7 linked regions of the Neurospora crassa OR74A genome follow. The protein of the gene in region 2 purifies or fractionates together with the protein of the main gene of each other region. This does not show direct contact. Links are inferred from orthologs where the notes say so. Each region holds a gene or a part of one and is shown on either strand. Other genes may lie near its edges. The genes, in order: NCU01524, NCU00404, NCU03380, NCU01301, NCU07942, NCU07795 and NCU09380.

Region 1 (4,169 bases), on a different chromosome or scaffold from region 2:
CGTCTACGATATCAGCAAGGGCGTGACGTTTGAGAACGTGAACCGATGGCTGAAGGAACTGCGCGACCATGCCGACCAGAACATTGTCATCATGCTCGTGGGTAACAAGAGCGATTTGCGGCATCTGAGAGCCGTACCCACGGAGGACGCCAAGAAGTTTGCCGGTACGTTGCGCGTCACAGCCATGATGACATGGTCGCTTGGGAAAGCCGTATCGCCAGGATGACTGACAGAGAGAACTGCAGAGGAAAACCACCTATCCTTTATCGAGACTTCGGCTCTCGACGCCACAAACGTCGAGCTTGCGTTCCAAAACATTTTGACTGGTAACGTTTGCCCAAAGCCTACAGCTGCTGCTCTGGCGCGAGCCTACCGCTAACATGCGATCATTTATCTAGAAATCTACAAGATCGTGTCGACCAAGAACTTCGACAACGGCCCCAGCGGGTCCAACGAGGGCCACCAAAACCTGTCTGGCCAGAGCATCTCGCTCAGTCAGACCGCGAACGACCCCCAGGCGAAGTCTGGCTGCTGTTAGGAGGTGCTTGATTCTCCGGGCCGGGAACCGAGTGGCCCTGAAGGGTTGAGGTGCAGGGTGCAGCAGAGTACAACAGGGTGCCGAACCAACAACGGCGTCACATATGTCTGACATGAAGCAATGGAGGCTTATGATGAGCAATGAAGAGCAGCATCGGGGGAAAAGTACGGACGGATCCTGCCCAGTCTTATTACATCACGGTCGCCGATGGGATGGTCTGTTTTTCTTTTTCTCTCTATTTTTTTGGGCTTTTGGGGAGGGGGGAAAGGATCATGATGCTCGTCTTCCAGCCTTTCCTTTTTGTTGTTATTACTACTACTACCCCTTTCTTCCCTTTTCCCCCCGTGCTGGTCGTTGGAATTTTCCTCAATGTGGTTAACGAAGCCATCACTTGCGCATGGATTACGAAAGATATTATTTAGTTGAAATGAACTATGGGCGATAAACAGCCCTTAACTCAACCTGGTACATATTGCTCCACGTTGTCAAGGTCTCCATCTATTGCATCCACAATGTGGGAGAAGAGGAGTACCTCGAGAGTGAGTACCTATGTAGCGATAATCGTGCAGGATCTCGTTATGACATTCAAGTTGATTATGTGCGACAGCGGGAAACAGTCAATACAAATTAAGACATCTGGGCTTGCCTGATGGATTATGGCGACTGTCCCTCATTACTCCCATCGCGTCACCCGAGGCGGTTGAAGTGGGTTTGAGTGCGGACAAGAGGCCAGTCCCGTCCCATCCCCCACTGTAGGGCAGACAAGAAGAACGCGTGGAACTTGGACAGTGTGTGTAGGCAATGGAATCCCCAGAACTTGGGGGTCCGGATTCCAGGTTGGGTCCATCAGTGGGACAAATGCGGGTTGCCCAGACCGCCGACCGCCTTTCAGCTGTTCCAAGCAGGGGGGCCGGAACAGGGACGCTAGTAAGATAAGAGAAGCTTATCGGAGTGGGGCTGCGATTGGCCGGCGAACTTTTTTTGAGATGGAACAGCCTGCACTCCATCACTGCGCTTCGCCCGCGACGTTCGTGGATTGGAGCATTGAATTCACCTTTGCAATCCGCATTCCGTTTTTCTGCCATCACTTCCACCACAACCACCACCAACTTCAGTCACCCTTGTTTTTCGCCCGATTTTGATACCCAAAGAACGACAAGAACAAAAAGAAAATGGCCGCCGTTTACAAGTCGCTCTCGAAGAGCGCCAAGAAGGTCGAGGACACGGAGAACGACAACAACACCACCACCACCAATGGCGGCTTTCGGAAGAACAAGCAGAGAGTTCTGATTCTCTCGTCCAGAGGCGTTACCTACAGGTACATATAGACCCTGCATACCTGCAAGATGGAAGAAGAAAGGGTCAATTGCTAACCGCCTTTGCGCCCCGAGTACAGACACAGACATCTCCTCAACGATCTCGCAGCGATGCTCCCCCACGGCCGCAAAGACGTCAAGTTCGATTCCAAGTCCAAGCTGTACCAACTGAACGAGCTTGCCGAGCTCTACAACTGCAACAACGTCATGTTCTTCGAGGCGCGCAAGGGCAAGGATCTGTACATGTGGTTTAGCAAGGTTCCTAACGGCCCTACGGTCAAGTTCCACGCCCAAAACTGTGAGCACTATCCATATCCGAGATACGCATTGTGAAAGAGGAAAAATCGGGTTCTAACAAAAAGCACAGTGCACACCATGGAAGAGCTTCACTTCACGGGTAACTGCCTCAAGGGCTCGAGGCCACTCCTCTCCTTCGACCTCGCCTTCGAGCAAGAGCCGCACTACCGCGTCATCAAGGAGGTGTTTCTGCAAATGTTTGGCGTCCCCCAGGGCGCGCGCAAGTCAAAACCGTTTATCGACCACGTCATGAGCTTCAGCATTGCCGACGGCAAGATCTGGGTACGCAACTACGAGATCCGAGAAGTGGAGAAGGCCAAGGGCGAGAAGGACAGCGAAGGAAACGACATTGTCCCCGAGAGCGACAAGTCATCATCGAAAAAGAGAAAGGGCGCGCCCAACGCGGAGCTCAAGGACACAGACGTCAGTCTGGTTGAGATCGGACCTCGGTTCGTCCTAACGCCCATCATCATACAGGAGGGCGCGTTCGGCGGCCCCATTATTTACGAGAACAAGCGCTTTATCTCCCCCAACCAGGTGCGCTCGGAGCTGCGCAAGGCCAAGGCGACCAGGCACAACACCAGGGTGGAGCAGGTCAAGGAGAGGCTCGGCAAGCTCGAGACCCTCACGGCCCAGGCGAAGAAGGAGAAGGATGTCTTGGATACCCGGGAGCTCTTTGCTTAGAGAAAGGAGGAGGAGGGGAAAGAGAGAGAGAGAGCTTTTCACAACACGATTTCATCACGTCTGTTCGCTTGCGACACATCAAAGCAACGCACGCCTTAGGTTTAGGGGTAATCAAGGAGTTTTTTGTACTTTTGCTGGCTGGCTGGTTTGGTCTGGTTCGGGAAAAAGAAAGGAAATCGATTTGCATTGTACAACATTACAGTATTCGTGGGGATGTGTGAGACGGACGAGCTGTCCTCTTTTGACAGTTGGGAAAGAGGATCATGATCGAGTGGTAGATGAGCACTCAGCGTATAAGGTGCTGGCTCGAAAACGGACACATCAGATCAAGATTGAGTGATGAACGCCGTCCTGGCTCCGGTCTTGGTCGTGTTGAAAGGAGATGGTCAAAGAAGGGTAGGAGAGCAAGTACTTTGCTCGGCACCTCACTAGCGGTTGACTGTCTATAACCACACTCCTGAGGGAGATGTTGTTCGCATAGGACCTAGACTCTACCTTAAATGCAGTTGCGCTGTGAGATATTGTCTCACATTTTTGCTCCATGATTTGGGTTGTTTCCATATATATAAGAGACACGAGGTGTCTCTTTCGTTGAGTTGTTGGGATGATATCACCACCTTCAGTACACTCCTCAAGGAGAAGAAGAAGAAAAAGTACCATGTTTTGTCCCAAGGTAGCTTTGGGCGACATCGTCCCAAATTTCAGATTTTCTGACGGACTAGCCATCTTCTCAGGGGCTTTGGGTCGTCTAAGTCATGTAGTGTGCCTGGGAGTTGGCGCGAGTTTGGTGCTTCTTGAAAACAAGAGATAAGGACTGGAGCCGATACCTAGGACGTCGCTCCTTAAAGCGAAAGACAAATGGCTTGAGTCTAATGTTGAACACGTATGGCTAACGCTTTTGATCAAAATTTAGAAGCAAAAAAAACGACTCGGAGTACTTTGGTCATGACTCAGGTTCACTCATCGATATCGGAGGAGAGAGTTGAGGATAGGTTGTAGAGGGTTCACTTCACTCATTGTGAAAGTTCGCTACAGGGGACCTGTTCCCTCCAGAACACCAGTGGGGGAAAGAGCGGGAGGCTCCGGCCTATGGTACTTACCTCTAGGCCCCCTTGCGTGCCTGCCTAGCGTATCTTGGGCACCTAACTAGGTGGCATGTAGTGCCTGGCCCCGAGATTGCCAGTGCCAATTCCCGCCCCATTTCAGCGCTGCTTCTAGTTCTCAATTCCAGTCCCTTCTAAACTTCAACACCACAATCACACCTCCAACCAAACAACAAACTGAACACCTCCCGATCCGTCCCCCCCAAACGCCTCAGCAAAGCACTTGAACGG
Region 2 (4,350 bases):
CGATCTCGGCCATCAGGAACTCGCGGACGCGCAGAAGACCGCCGCGAGGGGCGATCTCGTTACGGTAGGACTTGCCAATGGAAGCAGAAGCGAAGGGCATGTTGCCGGCGTTGTACTCGAGGAGCTTGGCGAAGTTGAGGAACTGGCCCTGAGCGGTCTCGGGGCGCATGTAGCCGGCAAGGTTGCCGCTGGGGCCAATGGCAGTCTGGAACATAAGGTTGAAGGCCACGGGAGGCTCAGGCTGGACACCGGTGGCGGGGTTCTTCAAGTCGTACTTCTTGATGAGCTCGCCGAGCTGCTCGCCGTTGTAGTTGTCGATCTGGGCGAGGATCTCCTCGTACTCCTTGACGACGGCGTCCTCGAGCTTGACAGCCTCGGTACCCTTGGCCTTCTTCTTCTTGCGCTTAGGGTCCTCCTCCTTGTCCTCTACCTTCTGGCCGCGAGCCTCCTTGTCGCCCTTGAGGCGGGCCTCGAGAACGTCCTCGACGAAGTGGTCGGCGCGCAGAATGTCGCCGTTCTTGGGGTCCTTGCACATCCAGTCGGCGAACTTGTCGACGTGGCCGGAGGTCTTGAGAACATCGTGGGGGGTCAGGGCGGTGCAGTCAACCTCGAGCATGTCCTCCTCGAGGACAAAGTGCTTGCGCCAGATGTCGATGATGTTGGCCTGGAGGGCACAACCGGGCGGGCCATAGTCGTAGAGGCCAGCAACACCGCCGTAGATATCGAAGGAGGGCGCAAAGAACATGCGGCGGCGCAGCATGGACTCGAGAGCGCCCTTGTCGAGGGGCTGGCCCTTGAGGGTGGTGGCCGTCGAGGTCATCTTGGTGTTTTGTTTTTTGACGTAGACTTGGAAGCGATGGTGCGAGGTAGAGAGGGAGAAGGATCGGAGCGAAGTCGAAGAGATCCGCGGGATGGGCGCCGGGGTCCAAGAAGTTCGACTGGCGACGGCTCGGGTGGATAAGGTCGATTTGAATGCTTGACCAGCAACAGGAGAACGGAGGGAGGCGAGACGGGCAAGAGGTCGCATGAATTGGTCTTGTTACAGTGCTCAAGGGAACCAAGTGAGTCACGGTCGCCCACTGAGGTTTCGTCGAGGCCTTTTCAATTGAAACACGTACTTCAACCGAATCGCGGGATGATTTTTTTCTTTGGGGGGGTAGAGGGGCGCCATGGAGGGGCCGGCACCAACGACCCAGACAACCTAAGCCAAGGGACAGCGGTCCAGATTCCCGCTCTCGAGCCGCCGTCAGTGGCGGCGCGGTACGCGACAGAAGGCTCGACTCGCTGGAATCCACCAGCCATATCAGGAAGTGGAACTGCACATGCTACTGTACACTACCTCTACCTACCTAAGTAACTCCCTTACAGAAAGCGCATTCCGCTGGCTAGCGTTATTGTGACTTTTCATCGGCTAGAGGTATTGATATTTGATTATCAAGAGTCCGTGATGCCGCCGTTCTTCATCCCAAAAATTCTGCTTCCGTCCCAACTTACAGCAAGGGACGGGATGGAGTCATCCTGTGCAGGTGACAGTCAGGTAGTAGTGTACACTGAGGGGTAGCGGTACGTACCTGTCCCCGGCTGAGGCCGTGCGTTAGCTGTTGGGGTACCCTTGTAGATGCACGTCTTGGCGCCCTTGATGGCTCTGGGCCCAGAAAAAAAGTTGAAAGTTTACCGGGCCCGTTCAATTCATCCGTCAGGTAGAGGTAGCAACAACTGCCCAGCATCACGTCGAAGTTTGAACTGTGACCTGGAGAATTGATCCTACCCTACAATTTTGACACCGCGACAACCACTAATCCCACCGCCGTGTTACCACATCGTAGCCGATATGCCGTCCGGTAACAAGGGCAAAAACCGCTCCGGCGGATCGCTGTCGCTCAAGACCTCCAACAAGATTGTCAGAAAGCAATTATACGTCAAGCAAAAGAAGGAGCAGGGAAAGGAACGCCATGAGGAGCGTCACCGCCGGAGGAAGGAGGAGGCCAAGGATCCCAAACTCAGAGAAGAGCGCCTCGCAAACAACCAACCCTTGACCATTGAGAGGAAACGCGTGTGGGATGACGTTGACGACGACAGCCTGGGCGTCGCTGTGGATGTTGCCGAGCTCAAGAGGAGGCGCTTGGAGAAGGAGGAGGCCGAGGCCGCCAGGCTAGCCGATGGAGTCACGGAGGAGGATGAGGAGAAGGACGACGATGCCGATTCTATGTTGGACTCGGACGAGGAGGGTGACGACGACGACGAAGATGCCGAGGAGCGCATCGAGAGACTCAGACAGGAGCGTGCGCAGAGGAAACCCAGCATCGCTCCCTCGACCACGTCGACAAATCTAGACATGACTCCCGACTCGCTCACACGACAATTTCCCAATCTCTTCAACGAGGAACCCCCAGTCGACCCCAAGATTCTGGTCACCACCCATTTGAACGGCACCATTCACAAGGAGGCGGAGGACATTGCTGCCATCTTTCCCAACAGCACGTACATCAGACGCAGTGCGCACGCGTATGGACACAAGTATAGTGTTCGCGAGATCGCAAAGTTTGCCAAGAGTGAGTAGCGCACCCAGGTTGGAGTTTTGTTGCCCAAGAGAAAATTGCTAACACAGGCCTGAATTGTTACAGACCGTGGATACACGATTCTCATGATTGTCGGCGAAGATCTCAAGAAGCCTAGCTCCCTGACCGTCATCCATCTCAACGGCGAAGATGTTGCCCCTGGTCCTTCGTTGACATACACCATCCGGAACTACCTGCCTGGAAAGGCTCTCCTTGGCCACGGTAACCCTACAAACCACTACGTAAGCCGTCCATCCTAATCCCCAAGTCCATTAATTACAGGACATTGAGACTAAGCATTGCAACCAAAAAAAAAATACAGCCCGAGCTTCTCCTCAATGGATTCAAGACCCCTCTCGGTATCCTCGCCGCTAAATCCATGCACACCATGTTCCCTCCCAGGCCCGAGCTTTCGGGTCGCCAGGTCGTGACATTGCACAACCAGCGTGATTACATCTTCTTTCGCCGCCACCGCTACGTCTTCCGCGAGGCCCGCACGACGGAGAAGAACGTGGTTACTGCGGAGGGCAAGGAGATGGAGGGTATGCAGGGTATCCGTGCTGGTTTGCAGGAGATTGGACCCAGTAAGTCTTGCTACCGCGGAAAACAAAAGTTTTGGCGAATGAACCGAAAGTGGCTGACTTGTTTTGATAGGATTCACTCTCAAGCTTCGTAGAGTGGATAAGGGTATCGGTCGGGCTGGCAGCGAAGGAGAGGATGCTTTGAAGTGGGAGTGGAAGGCCAAGATGGAGAAGGTTCGCACGCGCTTCAACCTCTAAGGGGGCTGATCATGATAGTAGTATTGGTGATACCCTTCTTTCAGTATGCCATCGTCTCTGTTGGCACTGGAGAGTATTTGTCTTGTTCAAAGTGTGTATGTGGCGTTATCGGTTCACAAAAGGGTTTGGGAGGAAGGCATGATTCATCAACATCAGGTCACTATGACTGTACTTCAAGACTACCTATTTTCTGTGCATGTACCGCCGGTTTCCTCTCCCTTTCTACGATTTATGACCAGCCTTCTTGGCTTCCTCCTTGAGCATAGCCACTGGATATCTAACCCAGCAACGAAATCTCAGCCATTCTGCTCAGTATCATCGGCAAGAGAAGCTGGAGATGCCGCCGAGTTGCGGTGATAGTGGGCGATCCAGATGGTGTAGAGGGACGAGCCGAGGATGCCGAGAAGTGAGAAGAGGATGCCCTAGAGGGTTATGATTTCGACTTGCTTTTGGGTTTGATCTGTTGCTGAACCAGGTACGGTTTTGGTTGAAAGAGGTAAAAGATAGGATATCATAATGACTGACTATCCACACCCCGCACACGACAAGCTGGGACCAAAGCCAACATGGCTCTCTCGGGTAAGACGGAGTGGTAGAGAACGTGATTCGTCACGCCACGATTGGCGTGAGCAAGATCCAAGCGATTTGGTAGAAGGTTACAGAATTAAAAGCTATTAGCCAATGAGGAAGGATCACATCGAGGGACATGGCCACGCTGAGGGGAGTGTCTCGGGGAGAGATGGAGCGAGGACAAAGAGCGAGAGGGGAGGTCGCGAGAGGAGGAAGACGGTCAGGTAGGTGGTGAGGAAGTGGAAGGTTGCGAAGGAGAGCTGGGTTAATTGGAAGGATGGGGTGGAGAAATGGACTGAATTGTGAAGACCTGGGTTGGTTCGGTTGTTCGTAAGGAACTGTTGGGAGAGGAGAGCAGGGAAAGATGAACAATCAGTATTGAGACTACGATATTGACCGCCATTCAAATGAAGGCGGGTGCGGGAGAGTTTTCCCTAGATAGT
Region 3 (3,984 bases), on a different chromosome or scaffold from region 2:
ATATGGAGGGTTCAGGTCCAGGAAAAAGAAGGGTATCTTGACAGCAAGAGGAAAAAAAGATGTGCAAAGCAGGAAAAAAAAGAAACTGTACCCGTACTCGGTGGCTGAGGTGGCACGTTACCCTGGGCTGGACTTGGTTTAGGATCCAGTGATGACGATCATAGACGAATGACAGTGGTTCGGTGTTTGTGAAGAACAGAAATTTCGGCTGTTGCGGATGCCCGGCCATGAGTGCGAGTGGGAATCAGCCGGCGCGTGTCCTGCGTTGCGCTTCAGGTGGTTGCACCGGGCTCCCCAGCTCACTGCCCTGGTCCGTTACCCCAATTGCGGCAAGGCGTGATGACATTGGTGGGTGGTGGCCTTTCAAGAGCAGCAACAGCACACAGCGACGCGACCTTGCATGTGACAACAGGAAGTTGAGACTGAACTGAAGGAAGACGGTTGGGCGTGAATGCCGCCATTTTCAGTTCATGCCAGGCGTTGCTCGATATACCTATACCATAGTATATTGCCGTGCCTTGTTGAAAAGAGACTTTGTACTCTGCTCAACCGTTGACGTTCATCACCTTGGTCGATCTCGGTTGATGGGGATTTCTTTGTACACAATCTCCTCATCATGTAAAAGTGGTTCAAGCGTTCTTAGCATGTTTGCCTATCATGGACTTGAGCAGACGGCCAGTCGTCAAACAAGGTTGGATGAAGACGACGTAGACTTCAATTTTGGGAGCCACTGGAGCTTAGTCGAGCTGAATATTGACACCTTCAGTTGTAGCATTACACTACCTATACCATGTAAGCAAATAAGATCAAGCCTTTGTCAGGTTGCCGTGGCTGCGTGGGTTCTTCGATGAGACCCACATTCCAATATCTGATAATTGCACTAGTAACAACAGACGATCGTGAAGATCCGAAAGCTGTCTATTGATATTCACGATACAAAACGGCTTGAGCGCACATCTGGGATATAATTAGTATAAGTCGTGAGTTGTCCAACGAATTTCTGAAATCTAATGGGAAGATCTTTAGGTTTGGACCGATCAAATTGGATTCGAAAGAAGTGAAGGCTGCTGTGTACTGTATGCAACTTGCGAGGTTACGCTCACGCTAGCTTTATCGATAGGCAGATAAGATAAGGATTGTTTGGATGGTCGCCAGGCCAATTTTTGTTTCAACAGCATCGCACTGCTATCACCACGGGCAATACGCAGAGCTTCAGGGATCGATTACAACGCCCCGATACTCCGCCAACCACATAATTAACATGGCGCCTACCCAACCACAGACTAAGGTCCGGAAGCCTCCAAGGTCTTGGGACGCTCTCACGCCTCCTCTCGCCCAATGGATTCTTGACTACCTCTCCTCCATGGGCTTTACCCAGCCGACTCCCGTTCAAAAGTCATGCCTTGAGCTCTTCCGTGGAAATAAAGATGTTGTCGTCGAGGCCGTAACAGGCAGTGGAAAGACACTTGCCTTTTTGATTCCGGTAGTTGAGGTAAGCCGGATCTCTTGCTGTCTACCAGCTCAGGATGATCATATGCTAACCGATTCTGCAACAGAAACTCCTGCGCGGCGAAGAACCAGCCAAGCGAAACCATGTCCAAGGCATTATCATCTCGCCCACCCGCGAACTTGCAACCCAGATTTACAATGTCCTCGTTTCCCTCGTCAAGTTTCACGAACCCTCCGCTGAAGCCATTTCCCACGCCAAAAGCGACGAGAAGCGCCCAACAGCAACCCAGCCTGTCGTTGTCCCCCAACTACTTGTCGGAGGCACCACCAAGGCTGCTGAGGATCTCGGTACATTCCTTCGTCTTTCCCCGAATCTCCTAATTGGCACTCCCGGCCGTCTTGCCGAACTCTTGTCGAGCGCATACGTCAAGGCTCCCGCGTCTACATTTGAGGTTCTCATTATGGATGAGGCCGATCGCCTTCTCGATATGGGTTTCGCGAACGAGCTCAACCGCATTCTCGGATATCTTCCGAAGCAGCGCCGTACTGGTCTTTTCAGTGCTTCGCTCAGTGACGCCGTTGAAAGGCTGATTACAGTTGGTCTATTGTACCCACACAAGATCACCGTCAGAGTGAAGAGTCTGAAGGACGGTGGCATAATTCAAGAGAGGAAAACACCAATGTCTCTACAGATGAGCTACCTTGTTACCCCAGCCAGCCAGAAAATGCCAGCAATTGTCCAGCTCCTCGAAAAGCTCGAGCCCAGGCCCCAGCGATCCATCATCTTCTTCTCTTCATGCATGGCCGTCAAGTACTTCAGCCGCATTCTCGGCGCCGTCCTGCCCGCCGGTTTTTCCGTCACCTCCCTGCACGGCAAACTCGAACCTAAAGTCCGCGAAAAGAACTATGAGCGTTTCGTCAACACCACCTCGCCCATGGTCCTCCTCACCACCGATCTTGCCGCCCGCGGTCTTGATATCCCCCAAGTCGACCTCGTTATCCAGCACGACCCGCCCACGGACACCAAGGTTTTCATTCACCGCTGCGGTCGTGCCGGCCGTGCCGGTCGTCGGGGTCTCGCCGTCGTTCTGCTCCAGCCGGGTCGCGAGGAAGGCTACGTACAGCTTCTTGAAGTCCGTCAAACTCCCATCACGCCCCTGGAGAAGCCCGCCATTTCCGTCACCCCTGATGAAGTCGAGCGCGTCTCCGCCGCCTTCCGATCGCAAGCCCTCGCCGACCGCGAGATCTTCCAGATGGCCCAGCTCGCTTTCGTTTCCTGGACGCGCTCCTACATCGAACACCAAGCTTCTTCCATCTTCCGCATCGCCGACCTCGACTGGCTCGACCTAGCCAAGGGCTACGGCCTTCTCGAGCTGCCCAAGATGCCCGAAGTCCGCGAAGCCAAGATCGACCGCTCTCTGGGTCTGGGCATCAACACGGAAGAAATTCCTTTCAAGGACAAGGTGCGCGAGAAAAAGCGTCAGGAAGAGCTGGCCAAGTGGAAGGAGGAGAAGGCAAAGCGGGCACAGGAAGAGAATACGGGCGACAAGCGCAAGAAGAACGAGGCGTGGAGCGGCAAGGCGGAACAGGAGGAGACGAAACTGCAGAGGCGCGAGAAGAAGAGGAGAAAGAGGGAGGCCAAGAAATTCAGCGAGATGACGGAGAAAGAGAAGGAGGAGCATCTCAAGCTGGAGCAGATGATTGAGGAGGTGAGGAAACGGAACGAGGCCAAGGCGGCGGAGGAGAGGGCAGCTGCGCTTGCGGCGAACCCACCCAAGCCGAAGGCTCCGGTGAAGAAGGTGGACGATAGTGATGAAGAGTTTGGTGGGTTTGATGATTGAGTAGCTTCTTGGGTAATGGGAGTTGATGGTAATGGTTCATTTTCTAAGACGTAAAGGCGTATGAGGCGTATATACCCTTTTGATGAATTGGAATTTTGTTGGTTCTTGGCATGCTGTATCCATGAGTCCTCATGGTAATCATGATAATGGGTGTACTCGAAAAGTACAGCTGTTTTGCCTGAGACAATATCTATCATAACACCCAAATGGAGACACAGTATCGATATCACAAATGTTCTCGAAATTCGAGACATTGTGGTAACAAAGTGTTCGTATGAACAAACCAAACCAATGTATTCAGTCCACTACATCACACCTTCAGTATACTCTTGCTCGCATGCATGCGTCTTGATTTTATCTTCTAGGCAATCTTCAAACTCCTTCCTGAACCAAATAATCCCTAATAGACTCTGGACGGCGTGGTTCCAAGTCATAAGGAGGCATATCACAGCCTTGCAACGGCCTTCCTTCCCTAGTAGGATGGATAACGTTGAAGTGTCCATGTTCGGTTTTGTTCTCTCAACCACACGCCGGGTTAACATGATTAGAAGTGGGACAAGGTTTTGCAGTTAATTGAATCTTTATTGTCTGAGCTGTAAGGACCATCATGTTCAGAGAAAAACATGCATTGTACCGGAACCAAATTCGATGTTCTCATTCATCAGTATGCCTTTGACTGTGATTCAGGCGAAGA
Region 4 (3,575 bases), on a different chromosome or scaffold from region 2:
CAGAACATCACCTACCTGAACGAGTTTGATCGTGAAGTGCAGACCGTAACCTGGGGTTACCCCACCGAGGACGCCTACTACCGCGATGCTTCCTCTTGTGACGCTGTCTTAGGCATCAGGATTCCCTTTATGGCCCTCTCTGCCGCTGATGATCCGGTGAGCATATCTTCTCCTTTTCCCTCAAGAGTGCAGTTTGAAACCCCCATGAGTATAGAGCTGACAAATTACTAGATCGCTGTTGAGGAGGCCATTCCCTACCAAGAGATCAAGCAGAACCCCTACACGGTACTTTGCCTCACGTCTCTCGGCGGACATCTTTCATGGTTCGAACTTGGTGGCGGACGATGGCATACTCGTCCTGTAAGTTTCTTTTTGCCTCACTTTCCGGTAACTTTTTGCTGATTTGTTGTCTAGATCTGCAACTTCCTGAACAAGATGGCTTTCGATATTGACTTGGACGCCATCAAGCCGGATGCTTGTGACAAGTTCGATAGCCAGTTCAGAACTCACTTCGACCCTGTGCAGCGAAAGTTGCAGATTCTCGATGTGGATCAATAGATGGTGGTGGAATGAACACTTGAAAAGAACGAAGACTGTACATAGATTAGCTATAGAGATGGGTCCATCGATTGGGCCTAAAGGGTCTAGACGCGCTTCAAGGCACATTGGGGCTGCACATAGACTTAGATTCGCGCTTTCGACTTGGATACAGGTTCGAACGTACGTTCATTGATGGCTTATGCGAGCCACGAACTACACCATCCTGACGGTTTCACCTAATAACATCTACCGACTCATGAGAAAAAGAGGCTGGACCAAGGCTGGCGTGCCCAATTGGTATCTTTAATTTCCACACACAAAATCAGTCAGAACTGTTCCCCCAGCCAAGCCATCCTACCCGCCGCCAGACTTTGATTGATATAAACGCCCAGACGCCATACATGCGAAGAAAAAATGCTTGGTGTAGGTATTACACGACAAACTTCCACCCTTCCTGTCTTCATTCTCCCAGCCCATTCCCAGGAGGGACCTTCAAAGCTCCCAGCATCCTTGCTTGATTATTTATTCGGGAGCAGCGAAGGATACCGACTTCTTCTTTTTCGACTTAACGGCTTTCGTGCCCGCAGACGAGAACTCCTTGACATCTCTGGAGTCATCGTCGTCGTCGCCCTTGCTACCGCCCGATTGCTTGCTGCGCTTACGCTTCTTGCGCAGCGAGTCCTTAGTCTCTTCGAGTCTGGCCTTGCGCTCAGCCTCCTTCTTCTCGGCTTCAGCGCGTCTCGCCTCGCGGATCTCCTCCATTTGTCGCGCCTTGATCATCTTGGACTCGATCTGGCCCTCCTTTTCTGCTTGTACGATGGCTAGGATAGTGGCCATGCTCTCCTGTACAAAGGGGGAAAACATGTCAGTTACTTGATGCTTTCCGGTCTTGAAACCTAGCAAGAAAACAAAAAACCAATATGACCCCAGACGCTAACGAAAGACAGCTTACCTTGTCATCCACAAACACCTTGCCCTTCTTCTTTCCCTTTGGCTTGGTCACACCAACGGGGGTGATCATGTTGAGTTCCGGAATCGCAAGCTCCTTTTCGCTGTAGGTCTTCTTCTTCTTCTTCCTGGCGATAAGCTCCTGGATGTTCGGTCGGCCCTTGCTGGCAGTCACGAGAGTGTGAGCTTTGCCCTTCGGCTTTCCCTTGGACTTGAGCACTCCATCGTTCCTCGACCTCTCCGCATCTTTGCTGCCCTTGATGCCGGATTTGTTCGCAGCGTGCTTGTTCTTTATCGTTTTTGTCGGCGCCATTGTGAGTTGTGGTTGATTCGTTGATAAGGTCGTAAGAAATCAACGATAGATGAAATGGTGGTTCGGGATATGGATGGGTGGATGGAGTACGAATACTCTCGAATGTATCCTGTACGCTGTCGCTTCAGTTCGGTCGACTTCTGGGGAAAATTTTGGGACCGGAATTGGTCCCTGCCTTATCTTATCGCGGTTAATCCAAGGTACCTCTAGAGCTTGTGCATATAGCACTGTATCAACGCCTGCTGAGCGCGGTTACGGGGCAGTGGGGTCTGTCAGCTCGCCGTGGGGCTGCCTTGAAATCTCTAATTGGCAGCTGGGGATCGGCAGGCGAGCAGGAAACTCTAGTTTCCTTCTAGTGTAAGCGCGGGGTTGGCAGCACTAGTGGAGGTACCTATTCCATATCGATTGCCTATCGGTGCGTTCCCTCACTGGTGGCACTCCGAAATCGCCAAAATTTCCAAGATCACCTTTATTGTCGCCATCCTTACATCGCAATTGATCACACTGCCGTGGTGATATCCCAAGAGTCTACAGTCCCCAGAAGTCTCAGACGCCCTATTCAGACAAAATGAGCACCGAACAGCCCGCGCCCCGCTGGGCCGCCTTTGCACGCGACACCAACGAGACCAAGATCCAGATCGCACTCAACCTTGATGGCGGCGCATTCCCTCCCGAGACCGACGCCCGCTTGAACGTCAGTATCGCCGACGGCCATGCCACTCAGGCTAGCAAATCGCAAACTATCAGCGTCAATACCGGCATTGGTTTCCTTGACCACATGCTCCATGCGCTTGCCAAGCATGCCGGCTGGAGTCTTGCGCTTGCTTGCAAGGGCGACCTTCACAGTTAGTAGACACACTTGGCTTGGGCGCAGAAGTCCTCGTGGAACAACATCCAGAACTCTGAATTGACTTTGTCCCTCTCATAGTCGACGACCACCATACCGCCGAAGACGTCTGCATCGCTCTTGGTTACGCCTTTGCCAAGGCTCTCGGCACACCCACCGGCCTCGCGCGCTTCGGATCCGCATACTGCCCTCTCGACGAGGCCCTCAGCCGTGCCGTCGTCGATCTGTCGAACCGTCCCTTTGCCGTTGTCGACCTCGGTCTTAAGCGCGAGAAGATTGGCGATCTCAGCACCGAGATGATCCCCCACTGTATCCATAGCTTTGCCGGGGCTGCCCGCATTACCGTGCACGTCGACTGCCTCCGCGGCGACAACGACCACCACAGAGCTGAGAGCGCATTCAAGGCGCTTGCGGTTGCCACGAGGCAGGCTACTAGCCGGGTGGCGGGTCGCGAGGGTGAAGTTCCTAGCACCAAGGGAACGCTCAGCGTATAAGGAAGTGGGAAGGGAGTTAGTTATAGGTTTGGATATAGAAGTGCAATGATACCATGTGATGTCGTTTACCGTGGTACTTTGCGCGCATGTTCGGCTGCCATCATTTCGCTATAGCGACGGCGTAGAGTTGAAGTGAAGAATGGAAAACCAGATACATGTTGCGAATTGGCGAATGTATACCTAGGGAATTTACCCCTGATGCAGGTTGTTGACAAAGTTCCCCTTTCGGAAAGTCGGACGTACGCGGGCTCCACAGCGGACAACAGAATGGGGATCGAGGGGAAAGTGGAAGCGCAAGAAAATCCCTTGAAATGATACGGAACCTCGCACGACCCAGTCGTTCATGTGACGTACATTACTTTTTCCTCCTCTTGGTGATTTATATACCCAAAAGACACTATACGACACCGAAGCCTTACGCCGACAACGTCTG
Region 5 (3,831 bases), on a different chromosome or scaffold from region 2:
ACCAAGCTGATATCGTCCAAAGCCCGGGTTTTGGACGTTTCCCCTAAAAGTTCCGATTCCAATCACAAGACGACAATCTCGTATCAGATAAAGTACTATACCTCAAGGTAGGTATCGTCAAGATAACCATTTAGTGTGTCCGTATCAACACCGATAGTCAAAACTACAAGGGACGCCAAATCGTTAGATAGGTCGAACACATCCAGCGATTACATGCTTGGGAGGGTTTATTTTATCGTTTAGATACGACTCAGATGAGGTGGCATGTTCAAGGCGCATTTTCACCTGCGTAAGCGCTCCAATAAGATGGTACATGTTGTAGATGTCCCCGCGCTTCCTTCCTTTTTGTCACATGTCTCTGTTCAAGCTTTCCTCTCTTCCCCGCCCCAGACAGACCGCAATCCGGGGTAAAGGCCCAATGGTCGCCGCGGGGTTAGGGCGTGTAGATCTACCCCTGACTGTCACTGGATCCTGTTTTTGTTGCATTGGTCAACGGTTCACAGCCCTGACAGCTTCTTCCTCCCTCTGTGGTCGGAGTACGACACTGGTTGGTCCTCAGTTCCCCTTCTGCTTCCCCTAACTGAAGCAAAGAAAGTCCGAGGATTTTCACTTGCTGTCTGGCCAGGCGCGACCTGAGCTTCCCCTTTGGTGCTAACCTCCCCATAGAAGATACACTACTGTGCTTTTGGGTCTGGATGGCTGTCGGACTTCATGTGAACCTGATAGGCTTGACGGCCCGCTGGTATACGTTATCTACACTACACTAGACACTACACTAGAAAAAGATAACACAAAGTCCACATGACCATTTGCAGGGCTGAGAAAAAAAATGAAAGTTTGAGCGTATCAAAGTGACTAGCAAGACCGCCAGTTTTTCAAAGTAAATCCTTCAATGAAATCACAGTCTCTAGGCCACATGACAGTTGATGCGGTGAGGATGTCGTTAGGCCCGATGCCTGGTGGACAAAAGAAGCAGGATTCCAGAAGAAGTCCGGACAGAGTGGCATGGATACCAAGTTAGGGGAGAGTATGGGGATCAGGGGAAACAGCAAGCGGGAAGAAGGAGATCCCGAATCGATAGCGGAATGCGGACGGGCGGGCAAGGCGGGGAAGCGGGACGGAGGAGAATGGATGGAGCCGGATTCTACATTGACGGGGACCATCGAAATTTCGTGATGCACCTTCCGCCCTGCCGACGATGTCGCTGGTGACTGAATGCCATGCCCTCACGCTGCTGGCATCGACTCAGCTGTCACCTGTGACCACCGCAGAGGTTGCTGGGGAACGGGTGCGGCCGGGATGGAATTCGACTGCTGTCGGGTTCCTGCCGATCATAGCCGAATCCACAGTCACTAGCATGCACCAATCACATAGCGAGCGCATACCTCCCCGCATCTTGGCGATAGCTGGACAAGCCAAATGCCTGCCGCAAAGTCTTATCAGCTGCTTATCTCCAATTGTCAACTCTCGGAAGCTTGGTCCACCAGTTTTTTCTGCCGGGCGGACAAGATTTCGTTTCAATCGGCTTGAACTCCATCCACCATCATCTCCAGCCCAGCCTGCAGCAGCATCTCGTCGCCTCTAGGAAACCGATCCCAGTACTTCGTCTTTTTACACAGCGTATACCCAATTTGCGTTTTGGCCCTACTACAACACAACGAAACAGTCGAAACAATCGAGTTGAGTGGAAACACCACCAAAAAAAAACCAGTCAAGATGGCGTCGCAAAATATGCCGTTCATTAAGAACCTCGCCTCGAGCGGTACGTTTGCATCCCACTTTCCAGTACATACACTGCCATGTGATCGAAGTACAAGCTACATCACCACTTGGGATACTTGCCTACCTTGTATCTCTTGACAATACTACCACTTCTACATCCAATCACGTTCTATCTAAACTCAAAATGTATACCCAATTCCCCATTCGATAAGCCCTCCATCACTGACATTTTCTCCCTTTTCGATAGACAGCAAAATCCGCAAGTCAGCCCTCGCTTCCCTGCACACCTTCCTCTCTGCCAAGCACATTGCCACCACGCTCTCGCCCATCGACATTCTCAAGCTGTGGAAGGGTCTCTTCTACGCCATGTGGATGTGCGACCGCGCCATCCCCCAGCAGACCCTTGCCCAGGAGCTCGCCGATCTCATCTACATCCTCCCTCGGGAGTCCGTCGTCCCCTGGCTCAGGGGTTTCTGGGCGACCATGTCGCGCGAGTGGACGTCGATCGACGTGCTGCGCATGGAAAAGTTCTTGTTGCTGGTCAGACGGGTGGTGGGTGCTTCCTTTAGGTGGATGAAGGGCGCGCAGGATGGGAAAGCGGATGTCAGTGCTGCTACTGCTACCAAATCCAACAAAAAGGGTGGGAAGAAGGGAAGCGGAAAGGAGAAGAGCGCGTGGGACGCCAAAAGAGTCGATCAGGTTCTCGACATACTTGCCGAGTGGCCGTTTGCGCTGGACGAGGACGTCAAGGAGGATAGCGATTCCGAAGAAGAAGAAGAACCCGAAGCCGACGAGGACGACGAAGATGCCAAGCCCCAACACGAATCTCTCAGGAAAGAGAAACCCAAGAAGAAGGAAAACAAGGACCCGCTTCACCTCCTCGCCAAGAAGATACCCTCGGGACTCAAGATCCACGTGCTGGATATCTGGGTGGACGAGGCCGAGAAGGTTGGCATGCTGGACTTTGAGAGCGACGAGGAGGCGCTCAAGATTGTGCAGCGGATCATCGAGAAGATCGAGGAGCTGGAGCAGCGCACGGTCAGCCCCGCGATAAGAGTGAGGTCCAAGGACTCATTGTCGGATGACAGGCTACCGGGGAATGACAAGAAGCCTGTGGAGAAGGAAGATGAGGGATGGGGCGGGTTTGATAACTGATTTCGTTTTGTAAAAATGGTTTTTGCTGAGATATCATGGCTGCTGGCGTAATAGAGTTGCTTTGTTTGATTTCGTTCCCTTGAAATACATTGCATTGTTGACCAATGTCTTGAATCGTGAACCTCCTCATGACTTTCAATATATCACAATGTTACCCAGGAGACTCCTAGTTTATAAGTAGTAGTTTGAAAAGTAACTGATATACATCAACCTTGGTTTAATTGTTACTGAAACACCATTCCACCAAATTTCATGCAAGGTATCTGATTGGTGTCAACGAGATGCGTTTTAGGTACTCTCTATACTCGTATCTAATTCTTTCGTCTATCTTCACAAAATAAGCCTAATGTGTGGCTCCACAGAGCTCGTCCCGGACACCCGGCGAATCACTTCCGGAAACTCATCTACGATGCGCAATCTTGCCGGCAAGCCGCGTATAAGCCTGCTCAACCTCATCGGGAATATCCACATGGACGATGGAGCCATTGCCCTTGGGACCATAGCCGTATTCGTCATCTCTCAATCGCGGAATCTCGCCCATGACCAGCTGCAAGAAACGGTCCATCTTCCACATCAATGCTTCGTTGACCGGCGGTGATTCGTATGCCAGCTGCCCGCTAGTGCCGCCACCGCTGCGCTTTACGCGAGGAACAAAGATCGGACAGCCGAGGATTGTCGGGGGCTGCGCCATGTCCATGTAGACACGGTCGAAGCATGCCACCGTCCGTCGAACCATGGTCGGATCTTGAATGACCACAATGGTGCGCGGCGCGCTTGCTTCGAGCAGCTTGCGCGCTTCCGACGCGTTGGTAGCGCAGGTCGTGGAGCGATCTTCGATAAGGATCCGAGGTGCAGCGCTGGGGTCGTCGACCTGGCTTGCGTAGAACGAGTTCCAGATAGCATGGAGGACTTGGGCTTCGGGCAGCCCACAGATCTCGGCAGCTATGCTCTTGA
Region 6 (3,730 bases), on a different chromosome or scaffold from region 2:
CCCTCAAGACTTCTTGGGCTGCAAATAAACACCCGATGAACTAATCGTCGGGTGTTGTAAATAGTTTGGACCCATTCCTAGAAATCGGGCGGGTAAGGCAAGTCACGGTCCGTCTTGAAGGAACATGTCCAAACTTCCAGAATCTGTCAGCAACAGAGTGTGGCATCGCACTGGTAGCTTCCTTACCTATTCACAATTAGTGATTTCTTGGCGCTGTATGCACGATGCGTTAGTAGCAATGATATTTACATATTTCCTGGTCACGGGAAAATAAAAGATCACGTACTAGTAGTTTGGGCCTGATTCTTTGGCGGGTCTGAACACCAGTCAGCAATCCGAAACCAGAGGCGAATAGAATGCATTGACTTAGCTCAGGTATGAAGATTGATCTTCACGATACTTCCGTATCGGACTTGCTTCTCGGATATCATGACGAACCCGTAACCGTGTGCTGATATCCCACCTTTTCACTTGGCGTTGTTCCATCTCTGGAAATGAACAAGTTCATGACGTGCTTTGCTTCTACAGCTCACATCGAACTGCTTCTGCTCCATGGCAATGGTGTTTTATGAGACCGTGACCCAATCACTTACACGCAAAGTTGGGAGAAGCGACCTAGCGACAGGAAGGTGCGAAGCTCAAAGTTCAGGACCTGAGGGCACCGATCCAATACTCTTCCTCCAATCGCTCACCCACGTGTCACTACCTACTAGTAAATGGCGCGAGATGGCAGGCAGTAGCAGCTTGGATGCTCCACGGATTTCTAATACATCGAACCTGGTCACTCCGTCAGGAAAACCTGGCTCGGGAAAGTAGGGAGGTACATGTACTGTAACTGCAGAAGCGTGCCTCTTGGATGGCAGAAGCTGTGTTCTGTAGAGGAAGGTATGTACAGCAAGATAAGAGGTATCGTGCATGGAGCCGTAGCGATCGATGTAATGCGAACCAATTCAACGGTGGCAGTCGGATTCATCTAGGTTCCGCTTGCGTATGTCCAACGTGAATTAACCTGTAAAACCCGGAATTGACGTGCATTACTTACCTAATCGAGCTCAGGTATATCGTCATGCATCGTTCGACTGTAAATGATGTTCAAAAGTTTCAACATTCAATTGGTCGCCGAAGTGCAACATGCTCAGACAAAGGTCTGTACATTATGCCGACCGCTGTTCATCGAGGTGCTCAGGTTCGGTCCAGGGGCAGATCAACTTTGTTAGGTCTCGTCGCTGCCGCCCGTTTGTGAGTAACGTGTCCTGAGACCATATGCTTGAGATCGTATCGATCCAAAGCGCGAAATGTGAAACACGTAGACAATTTCATACTGTTCGATAATGTCAATGTCGAGTTGTCATGGGAAGAGGTTGTCGTCGAATTGAGCCGTTGAAGTCACGGCTTACTAGGGTTAGGGGTGATTCTGATGACGGCAGAGCGGGTCCACCGTTCATCCCCGCTGGGCTGCCCTTGGTTCCACCAAGTGTGGGGTTGACGCAAGACAGGGACAGGGACGCAGGGCATATTGCCGGCCGCGACCGCCAAAAATTTCTGAGTGGAGAGCACCTCAGCAATTGGGAAGTTTCGAATGGAGGGACCTGCACTCCGAACCTCGACCATCTCGGCAGCACCTCCAATCCGCGATAAACAATTCTGCCCGTATTTCTCCCCCTCGGCTTGATCAGCTGGCAAATCGATCCCAAACACAACCACTATTCCATCTGCTTAATTCACATACAACCTACATCCAATCAAACCAGACACACACACAATCACAACCATGGGCATCACCAAGCGCAAAGAAGGCCCCAGCAGCAAGGGCAAGCCCGTCCGACCGTCCAAGAAGCAGAAGGCGCAAGCATTGGCCGCCTACCACAGCAGTTCAGAGGAGGAATCCGACAACGAGCAGCAAGATGTTGAAGACCAAAGCGACGAGGAGGCCGGCACCTCCGCCGTTCCCGCCCACCTCCTCGACTCGGACGACGAAGACCTAGACAACCTCGTTGCCGACGATGGCGCATCCACAGACGAAGAGCAAGCATCCGACTCTGATGATTCCGAAGCCGAACAACCATCAAACAAGTCCTCCAAGAAGTCGCAAACAAAACCCAAATTCGTCGCCAAAGACGCCCCAGATTCCGAAGACGACGAGGACGACTCCCTAGACGGCGGTTCCGACCTGGGCTCCGACCTCGACGATGAATTCGACCTCGACGGCTCGGGTGATGAGAACGGCAACAGGAGACAAACCAAATCCAAGCGCAACGATCCCGACGCCTTCGCCACCTCCATCACCAAAATGCTTTCCTCCAAGCTGCCCGCCTCGCGACGCGCCGACCCCATTGTCGCGCGCTCCGCCGAGTCTGCAGCCGCCGCCAAGTCCCTGGTCGACGCAGCGCTCGAAGCCAAGGCGCGCAAGCGTTTGCGCGAGCAGAAGCGTCTGGCCTTTGAGAAGGGTCGGGTGCGTGATGTGTTGGTCCCTAGCAAGACTAGGACGCTCAACATCCAGACGGGCGAGATCGAGGAGATTCCGGATGGAAAGGAGGGCGAGCAGACGACGGGTCAGATTCTGGAGACGGAGAGGAGGCTGAAGAAGACGGCGCAGAGGGGTGTGGTGAAGCTGTTTAATGCGGTTAGGGCGGCGCAGGTCAAGGCGCAAGAGGCGGAACGGGCGGCGAGGCAGGAGGGAATCGTGGGTGTGAAGAGGAGGGAAGAGAAGGTTACGGAGATGTCGAGGAAAGGGTTCTTGGACTTGATTGCGAGCGGTGGTGGGGGGTTGAAGAAGGGTGGCTTGGAGGAGGCTTAAGGGAATTGCATTCTGGTGTAGAGGGGTGATTGTTTATTGTGTTTGCATATTGTCAAGGTCTAGGCTATTTTCTTATATACAACCCCGTGCCCTTGATCTGGGGCAAACAGTTGAACAACGTACAAGCCCCATGCAGAAGTATGAACAGTCAACATGCTCTTGCCAATCCGTCATATCCATCAACATGAACATTGCCCATCACAGATATCCGATAAACTCTGCGCTGAACGCCGTCGCCTCAACAATCCGACAGAAATGGAATAGATGTCGTGTTTGTGCCATATATATTCCGTCGTCCGTCTCCATTTTTCTTTACACCACAGTGAATCCCCTGCCCCTTCACCTCTACCTTCTTCTTCTTCTTCCTCCATGCTCAACCCTTCATCGCCTGATATTACCTCCCCCCAATCCCATGTCATTCATTCCATGACGGCACGGTCTAGGACTTGAAATCACTAGCCTGCAAATTCCTCGTCATGCTCGGCAACTTGACCACCAACCCATCCAACTCCTTGGTCATGTGCACCTGGCACCCCAGCCGGCTCGTCTCGGTGAGTCCAAACGCCAAGTCCAACATGTCGTTCTCGTCGTCGTCGGGCTCCGGCATCCGGTCGTACATGTCCTGGTCCTGCACAATGACGTGGCAGGTCGAGCACGCGCAGGAACCGCCGCAGGCGCCTTCCATTTCGAGGTCGTGCGCTTGGGCAATGTCGAGCAGGTTGTCGCCTTCGGAGACGGCGAGGCGGTGGGTTTGGTTGTCTTTGTCGATGAATGTTACGTAGAGTCTGTGTGCCGCCGCGAACAAATTGCTAGTTAGTGGTTGTGGGAGACTGGTGAGGGACAAGAAGGGGAATGCGCTCAAACTGACTCTTCGCCGGGCTTGGGAGGGTCGACGTGGCCGTGCTGGAGAGCGGAAGAGGTGGAAAGCGAACG
Region 7 (4,688 bases), on a different chromosome or scaffold from region 2:
CCCGAAGGTGAGACATGGCAAGATATCTGGCGCTTGTCGCGCAAGTACCTTGCACAATGCCTCCGGACATACGCGGCCATCGAGTACGAAGATGAAAGGCTTGGAGCACACGCACAAGAATTGCTGGACTCCATTAGGGGTGAACTTGGTGTTGTTGGCGCTGAGGAAGATGAGGTTTGGGAAGATACAGACGTTGAGGAAGATGAAGATGAGGAGATGAGTTAAATGGCCCCAACTGGCTTCGTCTCGTTTGTCTTCTAACCATACCACCTTAAGCTGAGGCGTCTTTTTCAGGCAAACTTGTTATGGCATACCCTGGAGTCCGGTTAAGAGGGGTAAAAAGTAATGTTCAGGATTGGTTTTCACATGGGTTAGGTATACTTAGAGCGGATTAAAGCCTACAGCAAAGAATTAGATAATTTTGGCGAACGTGATAGAGGGCTTACGATTTGTCTAACGGTCCTAAACCGTGAGTTTCTGGACCTCTTCCACGGGGACGTCATCATCGCCTTCCAGGTCCTCATCACCCTTCCCAGCCAAGCCCCTCTCCCAGAGTTGTTTGCCCGTGAGCTTGACAGGCTCCTTTATCCTTGCCTTCTTCATCTCGGCCGCCTTTTCCTCTTCCTCCTTGATTCTCTGATCTTCCAGTTCCTGCAAGAAACTCTCCCTCCACTTCAAAAAGGTTTCGCGATTGACGGGAGTGCCCTGGAACTTCTTGTTCTCTTCGCGCTCCGCGGCAAGGGCGGCCTCCTCTTGCGCCTTGATGGCAGCGTCCCTCCGCTCTACTGCCAGTTGCTCCGCAGCATCCTTCAACGCCGACACAACAGTAAAGATCATGGCCATCCCCAAATTCTCTTCAATTGTCTCTTGGATACCTTCGAGCAGCTGGAACCGATCGTCGGCAATGTTTATGTACTGATGGGGCGGCGCATTTGGGGCGGACGCAAGCTCAAGGAAAGGTGGCTTGTCGGGATAGTCTTCGGGGTACCGTACGGTAAGTACCATGCTTGGTGTTTCTTCGGCATCATCATCAGGAATGTCCAGCGTGATAGTAATCCGGTATTCGGTATCGGAGATATCTAGACGAGTCGAGCTTGGGTTAGGACAGGCCCATGCCTGAACGGCAACCGATGTGGGCGAACAATCGAACCTTGGATCTCATCTGGGAAGATGGAGTCGAGGACTTCCCTCTCTTCAATTTGTTCTTCGCGGCCCATGATGTCCAATCGGTAGGGCGCCTTTCAAGTTTGCAGTGTGCTGGACGACATAAAACGTGAAAGACTCCTTCCAAAAGTGGGTGCTGGCAATGTTGACTTTCAGGCGTTTACTAACCTAGAGAAGAGGACGGGAGGGGCAACCAGACGGCATTGCAGTGACTGTAGCGTCAGGTGCAGGCCAAACTCCAAAACGCGAGCGCGGCTCAATCTATGGTGGGGGTCCTGCCTGGGTTCCTTGTTATATCAATGGACAGTTCTAGACAGTGTCGATCAAGTCGCCCCACCACAGAACCCCGGAAAGCTTCTCACCGCCCGGCAGATGCCAGGATGCGGATCCAGAAATTTTCAGCGGAAAACGTGCTACAGAATTTCCAATTCAGAGGCTTCAGATACAGGGCACTCCAAAGTTTCGGATTCCCGTCTGAATACCTGCACTTTCACATATTCCTGCTCGACCATCACCTTTGAACCAGCGCCCACCCAGTACGACGTCAACACGAGCCCCCCATACCTAGATCAATCCTTCATATCCCGGAGCAACACAGACATCGCATAGCATCAATGGCGACCAAGTCGTCTTCAGCAGCCGCTGCCGGCGGAAAGAGAAAGGCGTTCGGCAAGCATAACGAGGATGGCCGTACAAAAGCAGTAAAGACCACTTCTGGCAAGAAACACATCAAGGCCGAAGCCGAAGACAATGAATCCTCCGATGAAAGCTCAGACGCCGAGTTCCACACAGGAGAGACCACAACATCCACGCCCAATGAGTCCGGCAATGGCTCCAACGAGACCAAGTCTGGTACGTTGTCTCTCTTTACCATATCTGCCCCATGATGACCGAACCTCGCTCTGTTATTTGACTAACACAACGCAGGCACAAGCTCCAGGGAGGCGCACGCCAAGCAAAAACAACTCGCCCAAGAACGCAAGAACGCGAAGCCACTGGCCGATGAGGTGCACCGTACCAAGAAGCTGTGGGAGAAGCTCCGTCGCAAGTCGCATGTGCCTAAGGAGGAGCGCCAACAGCTCGTTGAGGAGTTGTTCACCATCATAACTGGCCGCATCAAGGACTTTGTCCTAAAGCACGATGCTGTCCGTGCCGTCCAGACCGCCGTCAAGTACGCCACCCCGGTTCAGCGTAGGCAGATTGCGAAGGAACTTCAAGGAACCTATGCGCAGCTCGCCGAGAGCAGGTATGCCAAGTTCCTGATCGGCAAGCTTCTGGTGCAGAACGACAAGGAGATCCGCGACATCATCGTCCCCGAGTTTTACGGCAAAGTTCGCAAGCTCATCAACCATGCTGAGGGTTCCTGGATTCTGGACGATGTCTACCGCGGTGTTGCGACCAAGGAGCAAAAGGCCAACCTCCTTCGCGAGTGGTACGGTCCCGAGTTTGCTCTGTTTAGGCAACCCAAGGGTACCGAGGTCACTGGCGATCTCTCCAAGATTTTGGCTGACGAGCCCAGCAAGAGGACAACGGCGATGAAGTACCTTTTTGACATGGCCAATGGCCTCATTCAAAAGAAAATGACTGGTTTCACCATGCTCCACGACGCTCTGTTGCAGTACTTCCTCAACCTTAACCCCGAAAGCGAAGAGTTCAAGGAGTTCTTTGAGACTATTAAGGAGGATGAGACCGGCGACTTGCTCAAAAACATGGCATTCACCAAGTCTGGCGCCCGCCTCGTGTGCTTGCTCCTTGCGCACGGAACCGCCAAGGACCGCAAGCAGCTGCTCAAGGCCTACAAGGACACCTACCAGCTCATGAGTGGTGACAATCACGCGCACGCGATCATCCTCGCCGCCTACGATCTCCTTGATGACACTGTCCTCACGTCCAAGACGATCTTCTCCGAGATTCTTGGCAAGAATGAAGAGAAGGATGCCGAGCACGTCATCTTTCTCGCTAACGACCTCAACGCGCGCACGACGGTATTATATCTCTTTGAGGGAATGTCCAAAGCGTTGTTCCCTGCCAGCCACGCCACCGACCTGGAGATTCTGAAGGAGATTCACGAGATCCGCACCAAGACCAGCAAGAAGGACGCCGAGGTTAGGCGTAAGGAGTTGGTGACGGCCATGTCGCCTCAGCTCCTTGCGGCCATCGCAAGCTCACCCGCCGACCTGGTGGCCACCTCTTTCGGTTGCCAGTTTGTTACTGATGTTTTGCTTTCGGCGACTGGAGATAAGAAGGCCGCGTTGGAGGCTATTGCCTCTACTGCCGGTGGCGATCCCAACGCTGAGGCGCCCAAGGATGCCTACCAAGCTCTTCCCCCTCACATCTCGACAACCATTCACGGTGGCCGCATGTTCAAGACACTGATTGCTGGCGGCCGGTTTGACAAGGCCACAGGCAGCATCCAGAAGGTCGACCCCCCGCTCAACTTCGCCGACCTTCTCTATCCCGTCATCAAGGACCACATTGTACAATGGGCCACCGGCCCTAGCTCTTGGACGGTGCTAGCTATGCTCGAGGCTTCCGACTTCTCATCGAAGAAGGAGCTCCTCAAGACCCTCAAGTCCAACAAGAAGGCCCTTATCAAGGCCGCAACTGAAGCACCGGCGTCGAAGAAGGAAGAGATGGAGGAGAAGCCAAAGGCTAAGAAGGGCAAGAATGCTTCTGCCCCCAAGGGCAACCAGGGCTCGAAGCTCCTTTTAGAGAAGCTCGATGCCTAGGTTGAGGAAATTGTAGGCGTCGCATGGCTATAGTGACAAAAGTGGACGGTAGCCACAGGTTGACTAAATACCCCTTTTATGTTGTTTACTTTGTCAATGCGATTTTGTTGGGCCCCGCGTAATTTGCGGTTGACTGATAGCCCTGTTTACAAGTCTGGACATGTTATATATGATTGCATAGAGAAAAGCTTGCTTCCAGACTTCCCTGATGGTTCAGATATGACGCTTGAAACAGGCCGTGGCCTACTTGGAGTGAGGTAAATCATAATTAACCAGACAGGAGCGAGACAACTTTCTTATATTCGCCATTCCGGACCTTGGAAGGCCTTATTATCATACGACCTTCACATTGAACCACTTGTACCACAATTTTCGAGGGACACAACCTCCCCATATCAACATGGCGTGTAGAGGCAAAGTGCTGTGCAAACATTTTGACTGCGGCACCAAGACCGACATATATCGGGTTCACCGTCACTTGATGGCTAAGTGCCGCTTGGAAACCGAATAGAAGAACGGAACTGCCTCAAGGCTACACCCGTGCAAGGCCGCGTATATCCTTGTGCAACGGCCAGCTCACTGAGCGACCATGGCCTGACGGCCTTGCCATATCTGCTGTTCTAGTAGGTAAGACGAGGGTTTCCGAACGGGCAGCCAGCCATGGGTGTCCTCGGTTTGCGTTCCGCCAGGCTTGAAAGCCTTCTTCTCTTTTCGTCGAGATCACATGAGGCACGAGGCCAGACATCTCGGTTCGTTGGCCGGGTTGGAGTTGACGAATATATCGAATTACCACTT

The links.
Region 1: the proteins of NCU00404 (region 2) and NCU01524 purify together in Saccharomyces cerevisiae (affinity purification with mass spectrometry; 3 studies listed by BioGRID, with this or other methods). This does not show direct contact. The link is inferred for Neurospora crassa OR74A from reciprocal best matches to the Saccharomyces cerevisiae genes RPF1 and BRX1.
Region 3: the proteins of NCU00404 (region 2) and NCU03380 purify together in Saccharomyces cerevisiae (affinity purification with mass spectrometry; 3 studies listed by BioGRID). This does not show direct contact. The link is inferred for Neurospora crassa OR74A from reciprocal best matches to the Saccharomyces cerevisiae genes RPF1 and SPB4.
Region 4: the proteins of NCU00404 (region 2) and NCU01301 purify together in Saccharomyces cerevisiae (affinity purification with mass spectrometry; 3 studies listed by BioGRID, with this or other methods). This does not show direct contact. The link is inferred for Neurospora crassa OR74A from reciprocal best matches to the Saccharomyces cerevisiae genes RPF1 and LOC1.
Region 5: the proteins of NCU00404 (region 2) and NCU07942 purify together in Saccharomyces cerevisiae (affinity purification with mass spectrometry; 3 studies listed by BioGRID, with this or other methods). This does not show direct contact. The link is inferred for Neurospora crassa OR74A from reciprocal best matches to the Saccharomyces cerevisiae genes RPF1 and RRP1.
Region 6: the proteins of NCU00404 (region 2) and NCU07795 purify together in Saccharomyces cerevisiae (affinity purification with mass spectrometry; 3 studies listed by BioGRID, with this or other methods). This does not show direct contact. The link is inferred for Neurospora crassa OR74A from reciprocal best matches to the Saccharomyces cerevisiae genes RPF1 and RRP15.
Region 7: the proteins of NCU00404 (region 2) and NCU09380 purify together in Saccharomyces cerevisiae (affinity purification with mass spectrometry; 4 studies listed by BioGRID, with this or other methods). This does not show direct contact. The link is inferred for Neurospora crassa OR74A from reciprocal best matches to the Saccharomyces cerevisiae genes RPF1 and PUF6.

What each region holds. Positions count from the first base shown.
Region 1 is NC_026502.1:3,192,634-3,196,802, reverse strand, and holds NCU01524 (ribosome biogenesis protein BRX1), read left to right. Parts: upstream 1-1,559; 5' UTR 1,560-1,710; coding exon 1,711-1,856; intron 1,857-1,934; coding exon 1,935-2,152; intron 2,153-2,221; coding exon 2,222-2,835; 3' UTR 2,836-3,379; downstream 3,380-4,169. Other genes in the region: NCU01523 (GTP-binding protein ypt3), read left to right, coding at 1-164, 246-326, 399-538. UniProt on the Saccharomyces cerevisiae protein: Required for biogenesis of the 60S ribosomal subunit.
Region 2 is NC_026503.1:3,739,728-3,744,077, reverse strand, and holds NCU00404 (RNA processing factor 1), read left to right. Parts: upstream 1-1,693; 5' UTR 1,694-1,831; coding exon 1,832-2,552; intron 2,553-2,624; coding exon 2,625-2,800; intron 2,801-2,880; coding exon 2,881-3,142; intron 3,143-3,212; coding exon 3,213-3,337; 3' UTR 3,338-3,707; downstream 3,708-4,350. Other genes in the region: NCU00405 (glycyl-tRNA synthetase 1), read right to left, coding at 1-1,027. UniProt on the Saccharomyces cerevisiae protein: Essential protein. Required for biogenesis of the 60S ribosomal subunit.
Region 3 is NC_026502.1:904,097-908,080, forward strand, and holds NCU03380 (ATP-dependent rRNA helicase spb-4), read left to right. Parts: upstream 1-1,184; 5' UTR 1,185-1,261; coding exon 1,262-1,492; intron 1,493-1,556; coding exon 1,557-3,290; 3' UTR 3,291-3,601; downstream 3,602-3,984. UniProt on the Saccharomyces cerevisiae protein: ATP-binding RNA helicase involved in the biogenesis of 60S ribosomal subunits. Binds 90S pre-ribosomal particles and dissociates from pre-60S ribosomal particles after processing of 27SB pre-rRNA.
Region 4 is NC_026505.1:3,571,422-3,574,996, reverse strand, and holds NCU01301 (60S ribosomal subunit assembly/export protein loc-1), read right to left. Parts: upstream 1,931-3,575; 5' UTR 1,802-1,930; coding exon 1,493-1,801; intron 1,384-1,492; coding exon 1,063-1,383; 3' UTR 716-1,062; downstream 1-715. Other genes in the region: NCU01302 (hydrolase), read left to right, coding at 1-156, 232-360, 415-558; NCU01300 (imidazoleglycerol-phosphate dehydratase), read left to right, coding at 2,370-2,646, 2,730-3,142. UniProt on the Saccharomyces cerevisiae protein: Required for efficient assembly and nuclear export of the 60S ribosomal subunit. Involved in asymmetric localization of ASH1 mRNA.
Region 5 is NC_026504.1:1,277,064-1,280,894, reverse strand, and holds NCU07942 (hypothetical protein), read left to right. Parts: upstream 1-1,506; 5' UTR 1,507-1,716; coding exon 1,717-1,762; intron 1,763-1,969; coding exon 1,970-2,877; 3' UTR 2,878-2,977; downstream 2,978-3,831. Other genes in the region: NCU07943 (DUF218 domain-containing protein), read right to left, coding at 3,278-3,831. UniProt on the Saccharomyces cerevisiae protein: Required for 27S rRNA processing to 25S and 5.8S.
Region 6 is NC_026505.1:268,399-272,128, forward strand, and holds NCU07795 (DUF1665 domain-containing protein), read left to right. Parts: upstream 1-1,602; 5' UTR 1,603-1,771; coding exon 1,772-2,797; 3' UTR 2,798-2,975; downstream 2,976-3,730. Other genes in the region: NCU07794 (2Fe-2S iron-sulfur cluster binding domain-containing protein), read right to left, coding at 3,237-3,582, 3,666-3,730. UniProt on the Saccharomyces cerevisiae protein: Constituent of pre-60S ribosomal particles. Required for large subunit rRNA maturation, in particular processing of the 27S pre-rRNA at the A3 and B1 sites to yield 5.8S and 25S rRNA.
Region 7 is NC_026501.1:3,514,407-3,519,094, forward strand, and holds NCU09380 (pumilio domain-containing protein), read left to right. Parts: upstream 1-1,603; 5' UTR 1,604-1,778; coding exon 1,779-2,016; intron 2,017-2,091; coding exon 2,092-3,893; 3' UTR 3,894-4,119; downstream 4,120-4,688. Other genes in the region: NCU09382 (TPR domain-containing protein), read left to right, coding at 1-225; NCU09381 (RWD domain-containing protein), read right to left, coding at 463-1,079, 1,151-1,217. UniProt on the Saccharomyces cerevisiae protein: RNA-binding protein involved in post-transcriptional regulation. Component of the ASH1 mRNP which transports the ASH1 mRNA to the distal tip of the bud, where the ASH1 protein is translated and targeted to the daughter cell nucleus.